Linked DNA regions of Tribolium castaneum. The protein of the gene in region 1 purifies or fractionates together with the protein of each later gene. This does not show direct contact. Links are inferred from orthologs where the notes say so. Each region holds a gene or a part of one and is shown on either strand. Other genes may lie near its edges.

Region 1 (7,680 bases):
CACCTTCGCCATTGATACCAACAGCTGACCCGAGGATAATGAAAATCCTGATGATCCTGTAGTACCACAAATTATACCCTTGCCCTTCATTAAGGGATATTAACGTGATTCCAATTAATATCAAAATTTTAATTAATTCCATAGAGAGTACAAAGATAGACGACGGCAATTAAAACCGAATTTCTAAATAAACACTTGCTTTAAAACACAACAAAACCAGCTATGAGTATAAATAACTTGTACATACGTATGCTATATTATTCTTGCTTTTAGAATTAACACAAGAATGGAATTTTTTAATAGACGTGTAATTTCCCTAAAGACTATCCTTGGTGCCAAGTAGGAGAAAAACACGTTTTTGTACATAAATCTATGTTTAGAAAATTTTATATCAGACTATGCGGACTGGAAATCTACAATTCCTTAAATGTTGTCATTTTTTTATTTATTTCACATTTCTTTATTGGCAGTTGAATAACTAACCACAGCACTATGGAATTGTTAGTAAAAACTGTATAAAATTTACTATTTATTTCAATTGTGATGTAATGTTTTGAGTGAATAAATTATCTGGTTTCAATTTGTCTTGTTCTTAAGTTATGCGAGTTTTATAGTGGGTTCATATTTAATAGTTATTTATGTAACAAGTACGCAAAATAGAGTTTTAGCGGACAAATCGGATTAATGAGATGAGCCCGCTAAAACTATTTTGCGGAAGTGTTGCATACAAACTTTTGGTACCAGTTCTCTAAAACGAACAAAATTGTAAAATTCTTTACGTTTACAATCCACCTTCATCATAAGTGCAGTCGATCGATGGTCATAGCGACGACTGATTTATTGAAACAATAATTATTCTTTTGTCAAATAATAAATAAATTAGAGTCCGCAAAGTGTTGCTACGACGACTTTATGTACTTGTCCTTTAAAATGACATTTTGTGGAGGCAAAGCAGTTCCCAAAGTAACTATTTTAAGGAGCGTGTAAAAAAAAACATAAATAAAAACAAAACTGATTTATTAACTGTTACGAATCCATTATTTCACTATGACCAAGTAACTACTATAATACACCTATCTATAAAACTAAACATCACTTTTTTGCGATTGTTGCTGTTCCAATAATTGGGCTAACGATTGGGGTCCTTGTCCAGTAAACAAGGAATGTTGAGGCAAATGACTCACTTGATTATCCTGTGCCTTGTTATTCCTCAACTGTCCAACTAAATTCGGCGTCCAAGTGTTGGTATTAAACAATGAATAACCAGGAGATGTTGTGGGATTTTGCATGAAATTATCATGACTCTTCAAAAAAAAATGCATATATATATATATTTTGTGCACGTGTCGCATACATTTTTTTTCTCCAAACTTACAGGTCTTGAAGGTGGTGTCGCCTCTTTAAGCATCGTCTGTCTCATCGACAAATTTTCATAATTCATGTTGCTTTCAAGTAAGTTAGTCCTTCCAAAAGTATTCCATGGTGAATTAAACATATCGCCGGCTGCTTGATTATTTTGCGTCTTATTATAATCGGGCACATAGGGCATATTATTGCTAAAGGGATAATTTACGAAACTATCAGGTCGTTGTTGGTAATTCTGTGACGTGTTGGGCCACCAAGGCGAATTCGTTTCCTCCATTTTGTAGGGGTTTCCCCCGGGAAATTGATAGACACGCTGATTGAAATTATTTTGAAATGGAACCATTGATGGATTCTCAGTTTTGGGAGGGAAAACAAATGAATTTGGCTGTGGAGGTTTCGTTACGTTCCGGAGAGTATTGAGGTAATCAGGTTGGCTGGGAGGAGGAGGAGGAGGAATAGGGAAAGCTGGATGGTTCTGGTTGAAGGATTGGGTTCGCAAAGGGGGATTAAACGGAGAAGGCTTTGTGTCAAAAGTCACCAATTTTTCTTTTTCTTCAACTTTAAATTTCACCTAAGGATAATCAAGTGTTCTTGGTGCATTAAAATCTCCAATTTTTTTTTAAACAATTGCCATATAACACGTTGCCAACCTAATGAGCTTGAAACAACTAGTAGATTTAAGTGGTTCATACTAGTTCGTTGTTAGTTGACAATTGTTTTAAAAAAATAATGAACAAAAAGAAGCAACGACCTACCTGTTTATTCTCTTCCAGTTTTTTAAAAATCGACTGCAGAGCAATGTTTTGCTTGGATCGTTTATTTTTTGAAATGTCTTTTTTGCTACTACTTGAGGACGCACTTGAATTACTTAAATCGGACATGAGACTTTGTTCTCCCGATGATAATAATTCGCGTTCTTCGCGCGATTTTTCCAAGGAACCTTGTGGTTTTAAAATACCGCCCCGTTTTTCAAAACCTACTTGAAACGTCACTTTTAGTAAAAAACACAATTTCACGCACCTTTTTTATTAGGAATTGTTGAAATATCAGTGACATGAAATGATTTCATTTCCTCCAATAAGTCATTAGTTGGGTCTGGCTGAATGCATCCAGGTTCAAAATTAATTAAATCACTTTCGGTACTTCTACAAATTGAATTTTATATTTCAAAACTTATGAAAAGAAAACGACTTACGTCGTAATTAATTTCGTATGATTCACATCCAACTTGCTGATAAATAAACCAAAATCAATCAAACGCTGCATTCGGATTAAATTATCAGTTTTTTCATCCTCGACACCCGCCTTAAAATCCAACTCTTTGAAATTTTTTATCAAAGGCCGAAAGCCTTGCAACAATTTATCTTCAAACAGAGGCACATTGGCATCTACCAGTTATGTTTTATTAAAAAAAGTCACTCATAATTACGCAACTTACATTTGGTGTAGTCAAAGTTTTTCATGTATTGCTGTACGTTATTCAAAAGTTTGCACAAACTGGGCCAAATTTGCAACCGATTAGTAAAAACAACTTCGTTAAGAATTTCCGATTCGTTCATAATCCAACATGTTAAAAGTTTCACTAAATAAAAATAATTAAAATTTAAAAAAAACGCCACAATGTTTGTCGTACCTGCAGGAAGTGCGTAATAATCCAACAAGCTTTCGTCATTTTTTAGCGTATGAACTGGAATAAGAAACGCGCTCAAAGACCCAGCCAACAAATCCAAAATTTGTTGTCTGACAATTTTTTCATCTTCGGTTAATTCATCAGTGAGTGATGTTGAAGTTACATGTTTTAAAGCGTACAAATTAATCGCAGTAATTTTTATTAATTTCTCTCTTGTAAAACTTTGAGTCGCTACTAAAGCTGTCATTGTTGTATTTAAACTTTTAACCCCGACTTCAGCTTGGTTTAAATCGGTGGCAGTGTGCAAGAGGGCGTGAGTGCACAAAAAAATTTGAATAAACTCGGTTACCGTTATTTTACTGTGAATTTTTTCTAATGGACTAAAATTTATTTTTTACTTGAGAATTACTTTTCTAATCTAATTACCTTTCTTTATCAAGCGACGAACTTAAAGTGCTTAATAGATTAGTGGTGGATGCTGGGAAGGGATTTTTCACAGCAATGCCCCTAATGTAATAAAAGACAGTTGATAATTTATCACCTTGACTTGCCTCCAAAAGAGCCAACTGATTGTAAGGATGACCACTAGTTGGAGAAACTAAAATTGCTTGCCTGAAATAAAATTATAAAATGGGGACCCAAAAAAAAAAAAATAATAAGTACTTGTAAAAATTTTCAGCTTGCTTTCTTTGGTTTCTATAACGTGCAATATCTCCCAAATGTACCAAGCAGTATTGGCAAATGTACACACAGGAGGACGATTGAGGCAAATTGAGTTCATTTGAATTTGTTTCCCCATAAACATTTCCGCGTCTTCTGAACGGTAAATCAATGTCATATACGTTGCACAATTCGTGCAAAAGTGTCAAATAAAACCCAGAAGCCGCTTCTAAACACCAAGTTAAAAGTGCCTGACATTCAGATCTTCTGACGTTCTGAATAATTTAATTAAACTAACAACACAAATCGCAAAATATTATTACTAACTTTTTTATCGCGAGTCAACTCTTGTAACACCGAGATGTGATTCTTAAAACCAATGTTCCACAAGTCTTGCTCCACTTTCTTGTCGAGAGCGTATTCCAAATCAAGTACCAATGCTTGATGGTAAATATTTTGCAATTTCTGTTGGTCCGTCCATGCTTGCGAATCCGATAATAAATCGCTTTTTTTTAATACCTTGGTTTTTAAGTCTTCGGCTTGTCTGAAATATGAGTTGATGTAAAAATGAATTAGTTTTTTGAGCAACGTACTTTAGAATTTGAACAGCTGCTTTATAACCCATTCTCAATTTGATAGTTTGGGTAAATGTATCAAGGTGTAGAAATTATTGGGTATGACCTGATATCATGAATATCCATCACTGGAATAAATTAAAAGCGAAAATGTGTACCTGAAATCAACAATTTTGCGAGTTTGAGGTTAAGATGAAGTTTGAATGCGACATTGCAACTACTTTTCGTTTTTATAATTTCACTTAAGATATCAAATTTTTTTATTTGAAGCTTTTTACATAAAAAACATTATAAAAAAAAAACAATAATTGGTAATTAATTAATAATTGTACCCAATTTTCGATTTAATAATAATTCCTACATTGTAGTTGTAATGTCGTGATAGTTCTTTTGGCTTGTCACATTATTTTGGATTTTTCAGTTTTTGGAAAAATAATTAATTGATTGGTAAATGGTAGCGCAGCTATTTACTAAAATGGCAACTTTTAAAATACCGTTTAAAAACACGGTTCTTTTTAGTAATACCTTTTTTAAGGTTATGTCACACTCGACTCGACCATGATTTAAAATAAAACTTTTTTTGTAGACTTTTAATCGTACGCATTTAACACAACACCAGACAAAAATACTAGGTAAAGGTCTTCCGGTGAAAAAGCCAATTGAAGGGGTCAAACACACAATTTTAGTGTCGTCTGGGAAAGGGGGTGTTGGTAAAAGCACGACTTCAGGTTTTTATTTTTCATGGCGCTTAATGAGGTTAAAATAGATTTAATTTTTAGTAAATCTTGCAGCTGCGCTAAAATTTGCATATCCAGATAAGAATATTGGTTTGTTGGATTGTGATGTGTTTGGTCCTTCAATTCCTTTAATGATGAATCTGCACGAAACACCTTTATTAAATGATAAAAATCAAATGTTGCCCCTTACGAATTACGGCATAAAATGGTAGATTTCGAATAGAATGAGTGTTTATTTTGTTTTTTTCATAGTATGTCAATGGGTTTTTTGATAGCTGAAGGTACGCCTGTGATTTGGAGAGGTCTTATGGTGATGCAAGCTTTAGAGAAATTGTTGAGACAAGTTTATTGGGGGCGTATTGATTATCTAATTGTGGACACGCCTCCAGGGACTGGCGATACTCATCTCTCATTGGTTCAAAATATTCCAATATCGGGCGTCATTCTTATTACAACGCCACAATTGGCTGCTCTTGACGTCACAAAACGCGGAGCTGCGATGTATAAAAAATTATCCGTTCCTATTATTGGTTTAGTGGAAAATATGTCGTCAGTGACTTGTCCTTCTTGTCATAACACTGTTCAAATTTTCGGAGCGGGAACTTCAAATTTGGCCAATGAAATAGGTACTGACATTATTCAAAGCTTTCCATTGGACCAGAATATTTCGTCAAGTACTGATCAAGGTACGCCCACTGTGATAAAATATCCGCGTAGTTGTCAAACTGATTTGTTTGTAAATTTAGCAAAAAAAGTTGTAGATTTTTTGGAACGAAACAATGAATAGTGAAAAATATGTTTTATTAATCCTTGCAACAACCCATAATAAAACCTACTTAAAATACATTTAAATCATAACGATGGAAGTATAGTTGAGCATATATTTTTGTATCCAAGTACGTACGTTTTGTTTTTTGTGGTTGGTCATAATGAAACTTAAATAAATTACACATTATGTACATTTTTCTTTTAAATTATTAAAAATACAACTTCATACAATCAATTAATAAAGACAGTAATAGAAAATAGGAAAATTCTTTAAAAATGAAATTGTTCAGTCACAATAATTTTGCTCACTAAATAACTTAAATTACCATCGTTTTTTGTGCTCGTCCATTGAAACCCCTCCTGGACCTAAATATACAATCATGAGAAGACCACCAATCACCGACAAAGTCTAAAAATCAAGAAAATGTATAATTACATAGATACTTAAATGTTGCGCTCACCTGGAAGAAGTCATACTTCAAAAAATCACGTAATGGCTTATACGACGGAATGTTCCACCAAGCATTATGATAAAAGTTCAACGTTGTGAGTAACAAAACCAAAATTAGCGCTGATAATTTCGTTTTGTACCCTACTGTCACTAAAACCATAAGTGCTGATCCCAACAAATCCAACAAAATCTGAAAATAATTATTGTAACAAAATAATAATAATGACAAGAGAAAAAATTAAATTAAATTGTTAAGATATTAGAAAACATAATACCTACTCAAAGAATACTAAAAAGTTATAATTGATTCTTTTTCATTATCAACAGGTTGGCATTACCATAAATAGTATTTTTTTAATCACGGTTGGTGGTAATTTTCATCTGAAAAATTTAAGTTGGTCTTCAAGTTACAACCAACCACGTCGTATACCCAACGTTCAAATCTGGTGTGCAAAATGTTAAATAAAGAATACAGTTATTTTCAAAAGTGTTTAGACACAAACGATACAGTCTGGAATTTTAAAATTCACAATAAAATAAAGAGTTCCTACTTTTTGTTACTAAGTTTTGTTTTTCTGCCTTTCAAAATAGTTGTGGGACAACTCCCAAAAAAATCGTTGAATAATAATACTAAATGATAAAATAAAAACAAGCAATCATGGAAAAACTCGTGTCACGTAAATTACCCAAACTGTCACAATTTCTAGTAAATTACAGTACAATGGCACCGTATAAAATCGTAATGGTCCGTCACGGCGAATCAGAATGGAACCAAAAAAACCTTTTTTGTGGTTGGTACGACGCAAAATTGAGCGAAAAAGGTAAACAAGAAGCGGCAAACGCCGGCAAAACCCTCAAAGACGCCGGCTATAAATTCGACCAAGCTTACACTTCGGTCCTAAGTCGAGCACAAGACACTCTTCAGATTATCTTAAAAACGCTAAATCAATGCGATATTCCCATTCAAACGACATGGCGTCTCAATGAGCGTCATTACGGCGCATTAACCGGCCTTAACAAAACTGAAACTGCCGCCAAATACGGCGAACAACAAGTGGCCATTTGGAGGCGGAGTTTTGACGTACCGCCGCCCCCCATGGAAAATGACCATCCACACTATAAAGACATCGTATGCGATCCGAGATACAAAAACGGACCGCCTCCTGAACAATTCCCCAAATTTGAATCGCTCAAATTGACAATTGAACGAACTTTGCCCTTTTGGAACGAAACTATTGTACCACAAATTAAAGCCGGGAAAAGAATTCTGATTGCAGCGCACGGAAATAGTCTAAGAGGAATCGTCAAACATTTAGATCAACTTAATGATGAACAAATAATGGGACTTAATCTACCGACTGGAATTCCATTCGTTTATATGCTGCAAGAGAACATGAAACCAGCACAGGGAGGCAGTTTGCAATTTTTAGGCGATCCAGAAACGGTCAAGAAGGCCATGGAAGCCGTAGCCAACCAAGGAAAAGCCAAATAATT
Region 2 (7,860 bases), about 390 kb from region 1:
ACACTAGGATTTTTGTATTGATAATATTACTTCGTTAGTTTAAGACGGGATCCGTGTTTGCGTCTCCATCAAAGTAGAAAAATACTCTTCCATGCTTGTTACAATTTAGGTTTAAACAAAGTGCGTAATATTACCAATATGAAAACGATGCGAAATAACTAAAAATGAATGTTTGAAATAAATATGGAAAGTTTGTCACAGCAGAGGTGTGAAAACAATCATCTACAGGCTTCTTGGAGATGCATGTCGCGCTCTCACGATTGTAGAAGTCGTCTGATCTCATCACAAAGGTGCGTCATGACATTGAACTTTCTCTGTTATTACTCAATCGGTATTCGACGTCATGGACCTGTGTGTGCTGCGTTACTGATAATTTGACAATCGACAATCAGATCAACCACTTACAAATTTTCATTAACCGCTCCCGCGATTTTTTTAAACATCTCCGTGTAAACGTGATCAATATGGTTGGGAGAACTGAGCGTTTGGCTGATAGAATGCCGATCGGTCTCCCTGATAGGTCGAGTCTTGTGACAACAAGCCGTCCATCTGTGACTGATACTCTGCCATATATGGGTCCTGACTGAGCTCCGGTTGACTCAGTCCAGGCTGCGATAGACTGAACCCGGGCTGGGATAACCCAGGCTGAGACATTCCCTGAGTCAATTGCAAACTCTGACTGAACGGCTGAGTCTGCTCCTGACTCAAAGTCTTGCCCTTCTGGCGCATTGTCGGTTTGCGAGTGCGGGAATTCTGCTGTTGGCGCGCTTGCATGGCCTGCTGGTGCTGGTTGTAAAAACGTGGCGGAACATCGGCCATATTCATAAACACGCCAACTGGAACCGGCAAATTCATGCCAGCTTGAGCCCTCTCTTGAGAAATGTAACTAATCGGGTCGTGAGTCCTACTAAAGATATCCAATGGAACAGCCCCACGAGGATAATTAAACTGGCCATTAATGGCAGTATTAGTCCTGTCATAAATCGAGCCAGGTACCATTGCCTCCCGGGCATCAAACATCGAAGTCGTCATGAAATGCGAGCCCGGATTATCCGAATTTGTCAGTTTTTTCGGTTTTGCAAACTGAATCAGCGACTCCTTCAAGTTTGTCAAAGGTCCCTCAACTAGGACTTTCTGTTCTTTGTAGAACGACAAAAGATGGTTCCAGAGTGGTTGTTTTGATAGTACTTTCGGGTTCCCGACTATTATTATTCCGTATTTAGCGCGAGTTAATGCAACGTTGAGACGTCGAGGATCGTTTAAAAATCCAATTCCTTGATGTTCATTTGAACGCACACATGACATTATAATTATATCTTTTTCACGTCCTTGGAACGCATCGACACTTGCAATTTCAATTTCTTGATAAGTCTTACTATGAAGTGAGCCTTGGTACTGCATGTATTGGACCAAGTAAGCTCGCTGACCTTCATATGGGGTTATAACACCGATCTGTTCCGGTTTAACTCCCGACCGCAAAAATCTGTAAAAAAGCAAATTAAAAAAAATAGGCAAACAGAAAAAAAACCAAATGATTTTCGTACCTAGTGGCGATCTTTTCGACATTAGCTGCCTCAGTTCGGTTCAGATAACTAGTCCCAGACCCGGCAATTTCCTCCTGCCCTTGGGTCACGTGGAAAAACATGGGCCTGTCAATAACCGGCCATGGAAAATCAATCTTGTTCAACTTCCTTTCATCGGCACAAACTCCATTTTGCAAACTCCCTTCATAGAAAAAATTGGAGGGAAAACGCGACAATTCTGGATGCATCCTGTATTGTACTTCCAAGCGAAACGGTCGAATTCCCAATACCACCAACCTCTCAAACAAACTTTGGGACAATCCAGCCCTTGCTGCTTTCTTACACATAACAACTGGACCCAACTGACAATGATCACCAACCAAAATCAATTGTTTCACTCCTAGTACCACCGGTACCATACATTCGGGTTCAGTCGCTTGCATACTTTCATCAATCAGAATCGAATGAAATTTCAAACGAACCAATCGTGGATCACCTGCCCCCACACAAGTACAACAAATAACATCGGCAGCTTCGAGTAATTCTTTCTCAGCCAATTTTTTCAACATTCTGTATCGTTTCTCATCAACTGAACTCAACTCTCCAGTCTCATCTTTCAACTGTTGCAACTTCTGGAGTTCAGTATTGGCTTCCATTTTACGTATCTGATTATGCAATGCAAGAAAACTCACAGGCGAATCAATCGCTTCGCGTGATTTCGCACACAATCTTACAACTTTTAGATTAGTTTTGTGAATTTTTTCGGTAAGTTGGTCAACTGCCGTATTACTGGGAGCACAGACTAGGACTGGACCGCCGTTTTGTTTCACCAATTGATAGACGATGGTGGCGGAAGTTACGGTTTTTCCCGTTCCGGGAGGACCTTGGATGAGGGAGAGTGGACGCTGGAGGGCATGTTTGACGGCGTAGACTTGCGAACGGTTCAAGTCGGGAAGATTAGGTGCCGAAAAATGTTTAGGGAGGTGACAACGGAAAAGGACCTCTTCGACCTCGTGGCCGAGGAGGCGGTGGTAGATGTAGGCGGAAACGGATGTATCGTCAACGGCGAATTTTCGCAAGGCGAGTTGCATCCTGCAATTAACAATAAAGGCGAGCTCAGAAAAAAACGACGTGAAAACTTGTTTTCACATAATTATTTTTTTAATTAAATATTCTTAGAAACCTTATAAAAAAATTACCACATTAATATAGCTTGAAATATCAACGCTTAAAATTAACATCTTACAAAGATTTTTTTAACATTCGGAAATAAGAAGTGAAAATGCGTCACTTCTCTCATGCTTTTTTTTTAATTACTGTGATTTTTAAAATAAAGTTTGATTGTAATATTATACTTATATTTAATGTGAAAGTTTATAACAATGGTACTTTCAACGTTTGACTACTAACAGTAAAACATTAATTAAAAAAATAAATAAAAAATGTGATACATAAAGAGATTAACGTGATTATTTCTGTTTCTATCACAACAACGAAATTTACCTGTCAAAACTGGTACTTTTCCAAATGAAATCCACCACAAAGTTGCTGTTACAATCGGTGGGAGCCCCATTTCCGTTCTTCAACTCAATGCCAATATCCTCTCCGTAATTATCAGGAACTTTGATAACGTGTCCCACCCCCGCCCATGATTTATGCATTTCTCCCACGTATCTAAGTCTCAACTCATCTCCGTGCATTAATTTCATATCCCCGTCAGTTTTAGCAAGAGTAAAATACGCAATTGTTTTCTTATTCAAACCCACATCCCACCTAACTTCAATATTTTCCTGAGTCTGAGACTCCTTCAATCTTTTATCATAATCAGCTTCAAGCTTAACAAGAGGACCAAAAATGTTTTGGTACTGATAACCGTCCTCATATCGCAATAAAACCTACCAAAAAAAATTATAATAAATACGTTAGAACTGTGCAAACAAGACTAACTTGTTGCGGTTCTTCGTCAACTCCTGGCCGTTCCAAATCCTGGAACGTGGCATCAACATTATCTTTCCAAAGTTCTTCAAGTTTGTTGATTTGTTGGGCTGAGATTTGGCGCGCTCGCAGTTGTTCCTGTTCTGATGGTATTTTTACAAGCCATGTGAGAAAACACCGGTCGGTAATGAGTGGTTTCCATTGGTCTTGATCCCAGTTCATGTCCTATTAAAAGCTTGAAAACTGTCCTATTTTAAAAGCAATGACTTACTTTAAGTGAGTTTTGGGCGGCACAAGGTTGGCGGCAAAGTAGCACCACAACAGAGTCAGCTTTGGCAGGAATGAACCCCAAAACAAAAACATTGCGGACGCCACAACTGTAACATTCAAGGATTGTCTCGCCCAAAGGGCCGTCCTTGTGTAAGGTCACTTCCTTGTGTTTGGCTCGGACCTAAACCCCAATCAAAAAACAGTTTCCAAGTTGAAATTCCTCACCAAATGGTTGATTATGTGGCTTCCTGAGGTGTTTCCTCTCCCGTTACAAAACCACTTTTTGCAGCAGTTGCACATGACAACGCAATTCGGCTCATGAATGCCGCAGTACTTGCACGCGTAGTTCGGGAGCTCCTTGCTGTTGAAATACTCCTCATCCTCTTCCTCGAATTGCAGTTCCCCTAAAGCACTCGTCGCATTGGCGATTTTGTTGTTGATGTTGTTGTTGAGCTAAAACAACAACGTCATACGACACTGAACCAGGGGGCGACCTTGCACTAACCTGTACACCGGAAACTTTGGGGCCCGCGTGGTCGTGCTGCGAGGCTTGCGTTTGCGATGGAATTGTGAAATCGGTGAATTCGCATTCGGATCCTTGGGTGTCAGCCCCGATCAAGTCGTTTTCTTCGGTCTCTAAAAACGTGAGAGTTTGCGAACTGGGGCCGTATGCGTCGACACTCATCTTGGAGATTTCGTCGCGAACGAATTGAAGCACGGGTTTATTCACGTTTACTGATGAAACACTTTTAACACTTCAATTGATGACAACTCGACTATGGTTACTTTAAAATTTCTACATTTTTCTCCTGGCAAGCGCCATATTTTCCTGATTAATCATTTGTTTTTTTATCGTCATTTCTCTTTCCGAAGCATAATTGACGGAGCGGGAAACTTAAACACTCGTGCTATCTTTTTCAGTTTTTAGCGCACTGATCTTTTTTATGGCCTCAAAATTAAAAAGTGGTTTAGGAAATAGATTATTGCACAACCTTATTGTCTAATTTAATCCCTAAGCTTTTTTTCGTTGGTTGGCACGGTGTTATCATTGTGGTTACCATCTTATCGGAGTGAGACACGTATCGCAATCTTTTAAGTTAAAGAGAGATAAGCATATGTTTGATTGTAGAAGTGGCTAAGGCTGCGTCACTTTATGATTTGATTTTTCACTTTTTTGTAAATTTTACATTTAAACATTATTTTTATTATAAAATTATAGCATAAAGTTTATTGATTTTTCGGTTTTTATTCAACATTCAACACATGACTGCAAAAAAGAGGCATATCAAAATAAAAAAAACACATTTTTCAAAAACAGCCGATTTTTCAGTGAAATTTTATCGGTAATAAGTCAAAAACATAAAATGATGTTCGTTTTAAAAGAACGTAAATTTACGAATGTTTTTGTCGAAATAAATAAAACTAAAAAACGTAATAAGTTTATTGAGTAGATGACCAATAAAACAACTGAGCATTTGGTTTTGCCTACCTAATTATTAAATTAAAAATGGACGAAAAATGGCGAAATTATTATGATTTATGATTATTGAATTTGATATTGCTATTACAAACTTTATCCATAAAAATAGAACGTGGACTCAATAAAAACATTATCAAGAAATGACTGTATTTTATTAAATTAATAGAAATCACACATGCTCTTTATTACAACTGGCACTCCTTATTTTTTAATTCTTCTCATGTTTAAGTAGCTTGCGGTTACTTAAATGCTCACGTATCATTCTGGTTTCCCACAGATACATAATAAATATTACGATGATATAATTGATAGTTTGAAAACTGTTAACTTTTTATTAGGTTTTTGTACAGCGACAATTCAACACATCTATTAATAATTTATTAAAGTTTTACTGCATTATGACCCAACTCATAAATAGTATTGATTACAAATTCCCAACTACACTACAATGAGTATTGTTACAAAATATTTCTTAAACACGTCTCTACATGGCTTGCATTTCATAGCTGATAAGAGATTCCACTGGACTGAAAGATTTTTTTGGACAATATGTGTCCTAACTTCTTGGGTAAATCCCACAAATCGTCAAATTTTTACCACAATAAAATAGATTCACAGGCCGCATCGATTATGCTAATGTTTAACGCACTAGACCAGTATCAAAACCAAAAAATATCCTTTTCAGTGGACACATCTTACTTAAATTGGCAAACAAACTTTCCTTCAATTGTTATTTGCGAACGATCAAATCCAAAAAAAATGCTCGAAGCTAACAAGAAGTAAGTTAATTGTGATTTTCTTTGTTATAACTCTCTCTGCTCGAAGAATTTTCGGTTCCATATCTCAACAGTTCCCCAAACTCGAAACCTTCGTTTTCTTCGACGGTTCCATAAGACACACGCAAGTTTGCCAACCAAATGGTGCTCTACGTGACAAATGCTTGCTAACAAATTACTCGCAATACATGCATAAGGTTGTGGTATTTTCCCAGTTAACATAACTGCACTCGTTTAATTGCAGTTCCGCAGCACTTGTTCGGAAGCAATTAGTTCGTGCTTTTACAACAACGAAGAATTTCCCTGCTGTGACGAATTCTTGCCCATTGACACTTACCACGGGCCTTGCTTTGGCTTCAATTCTCTGGTTTCAGGGTACTTGCCTTTTATTTCACCAAACAAATTTAAAAATAATTTTTATTAGAAAATACACAAGTCGGGAAGACCTCCCTTTCAAAATAACGCGCGACTCAAATTTCGGTTATGGCAACTTATCAGTTGAGCTGTACCATGATGGGTTCATTGTGTATGGGTTGAGCCAAGACTCCGTCCCTACTAAGGAAAGTTCCAGCGAGTTTGTGTTGCTAGATTCACGCACAAGCTCGGGAATTGTTGCTAAAACAGCCTACAAGGCGTTTTTATCAGTTAAAGTAAATTGATTACATTTGAGTGACTGTTTTACAATTGTTACAAAGGAAACTTTCACGGACGAAGCCGCCAGGTTGATGAAAATCGCAAATCGTGGTTGTCGATTTTACGATGAAAATAACTTGCAACATGCAAAATTGTACAGTACTTCAGCTTGCGTGAACGAATGTCTTGTTGAAGCCCAAAGGGAGATTTGCAATTGCACTTATCACATTTTACCACACAATGGTAACAAGTCGGTTCATAAACTATTAATTAAAACTACTTTCTAGATCAAGTCAAAGACTGTGATTTTGAGGGGCTTTTGTGCACAATTGATAACAAGAAAGTTAAGGAGAAAACAACTTCTTGCAGTTGTACGAGTTCTTGCTCCGACGTTGAAGTCGTCAATATTGGCTTTACAAAAACTCCAATACACTCGAGTCAGTTCCGAAATGACAAAAGCCAGGTTCGAATTGACTTTATCGTTTATCCTCCGACTTTACGTTACAGCCGAAGTGTGGTGAAAACGCCACTTACCATGCTTGGTAAATTTAAAATTTAAATTGATTACCAAATTGGTTCTAGTTTCAGTTGGTGGTTCTGTTGGTTTGTTTGTGGGTGCAAGTTTGCTCACAGTGGTCGAGATTATTTATTATTTTTTCGTGCGTCCGCTTGGCGACAAATACATAAAACATGAAAGGAACAAAGAAATAAAAAAATCAGAGATTGATAATAATTTAGATTCGTTTTATTATAAGTACGGCACTTTGTATGAATTTGTCAATTAGGTGCAGCTTTTAATGAGGCGTGAAATGCTTTCTTCCAGCTCTCACAATAACTGCAGTAAATCACACACGACTTTCACGTTTTTTTAATTTTTTTCGATGAAAGAAGAAAAATCTTGGCGCGTCAAGGCCTCAATTAGCATTCTGGGAAATAAATTTTGAATTATTCATGTTCCAGACGGCTACGTTGAGATGGGAATTGAGACAAGGCTAATAATCCATTGTTGCCTTTTAATAAAAGTCCAACGTCTGTCTGCATCACGCGATTATTTACCTACAGATAACTGTTTTCCTTGTAATAATTTGTCGTCGCACATTTTTCGAAGCAAACTTACGCAACTAACAGGATTTATCACAAGAGAGCGAAAGAAAGTCTATTGTTTGGGACGGAATCACATTACGAAATGTGGACGTGGTTACGACATTTTTCTAGAGTAATTAGCAAAGTTTTGAATATTTCC

Evidence for each region.
Region 2: the proteins of nonsense-mediated mRNA decay factor SMG7 (region 1) and regulator of nonsense transcripts 1 purify together in Homo sapiens (affinity purification with western blotting; 7 studies listed by BioGRID and IntAct, with this or other methods). This does not show direct contact. The link is inferred for Tribolium castaneum from reciprocal best matches to the Homo sapiens genes SMG7 and UPF1.

Annotation. Positions count from the first base shown.
Region 1 is NC_087397.1:133,707-141,386, reverse strand, and holds nonsense-mediated mRNA decay factor SMG7, read right to left. Parts: upstream 4,427-7,680; 5' UTR 4,281-4,426; coding exon 4,249-4,280; intron 4,200-4,248; coding exon 3,983-4,199; intron 3,931-3,982; coding exon 3,659-3,930; intron 3,608-3,658; coding exon 3,422-3,607; intron 3,376-3,421; coding exon 2,999-3,375; intron 2,948-2,998; coding exon 2,804-2,947; intron 2,754-2,803; coding exon 2,561-2,753; intron 2,511-2,560; coding exon 2,386-2,510; intron 2,342-2,385; coding exon 2,121-2,341; intron 1,937-2,120; coding exon 1,355-1,936; intron 1,305-1,354; coding exon 1,086-1,304; 3' UTR 1,001-1,085; downstream 1-1,000. Other genes in the region: iron-sulfur cluster transfer protein NUBPL, read left to right, coding at 4,682-4,765, 4,817-4,958, 5,010-5,175, 5,220-5,754; phosphoglycerate mutase 2, read left to right, coding at 6,845-7,678; Surf4 (surfeit locus protein 4 homolog), read right to left, coding at 6,058-6,144, 6,197-6,376. UniProt on the Homo sapiens protein: Plays a role in nonsense-mediated mRNA decay. Recruits UPF1 to cytoplasmic mRNA decay bodies.
Region 2 is NC_087397.1:525,962-533,821, reverse strand, and holds the start of regulator of nonsense transcripts 1, read right to left. Parts: upstream 4,747-7,860; 5' UTR 4,414-4,746; coding exon 4,234-4,413; intron 4,182-4,233; coding exon 3,954-4,181; intron 3,910-3,953; coding exon 3,730-3,909; intron 3,684-3,729; coding exon 3,471-3,683; intron 3,419-3,470; coding exon 3,027-3,418; intron 2,616-3,026; coding exon 1,545-2,615; intron 1,484-1,544; coding exon 460-1,483; 3' UTR 1-459. Other genes in the region: sodium channel protein Nach, read left to right, coding at 5,657-5,776, 5,827-5,987, 6,034-6,181, 6,229-6,359, 6,409-6,634, 6,680-6,860, 6,905-7,159, 7,200-7,402. UniProt on the Homo sapiens protein: RNA-dependent helicase required for nonsense-mediated decay (NMD) of aberrant mRNAs containing premature stop codons and modulates the expression level of normal mRNAs.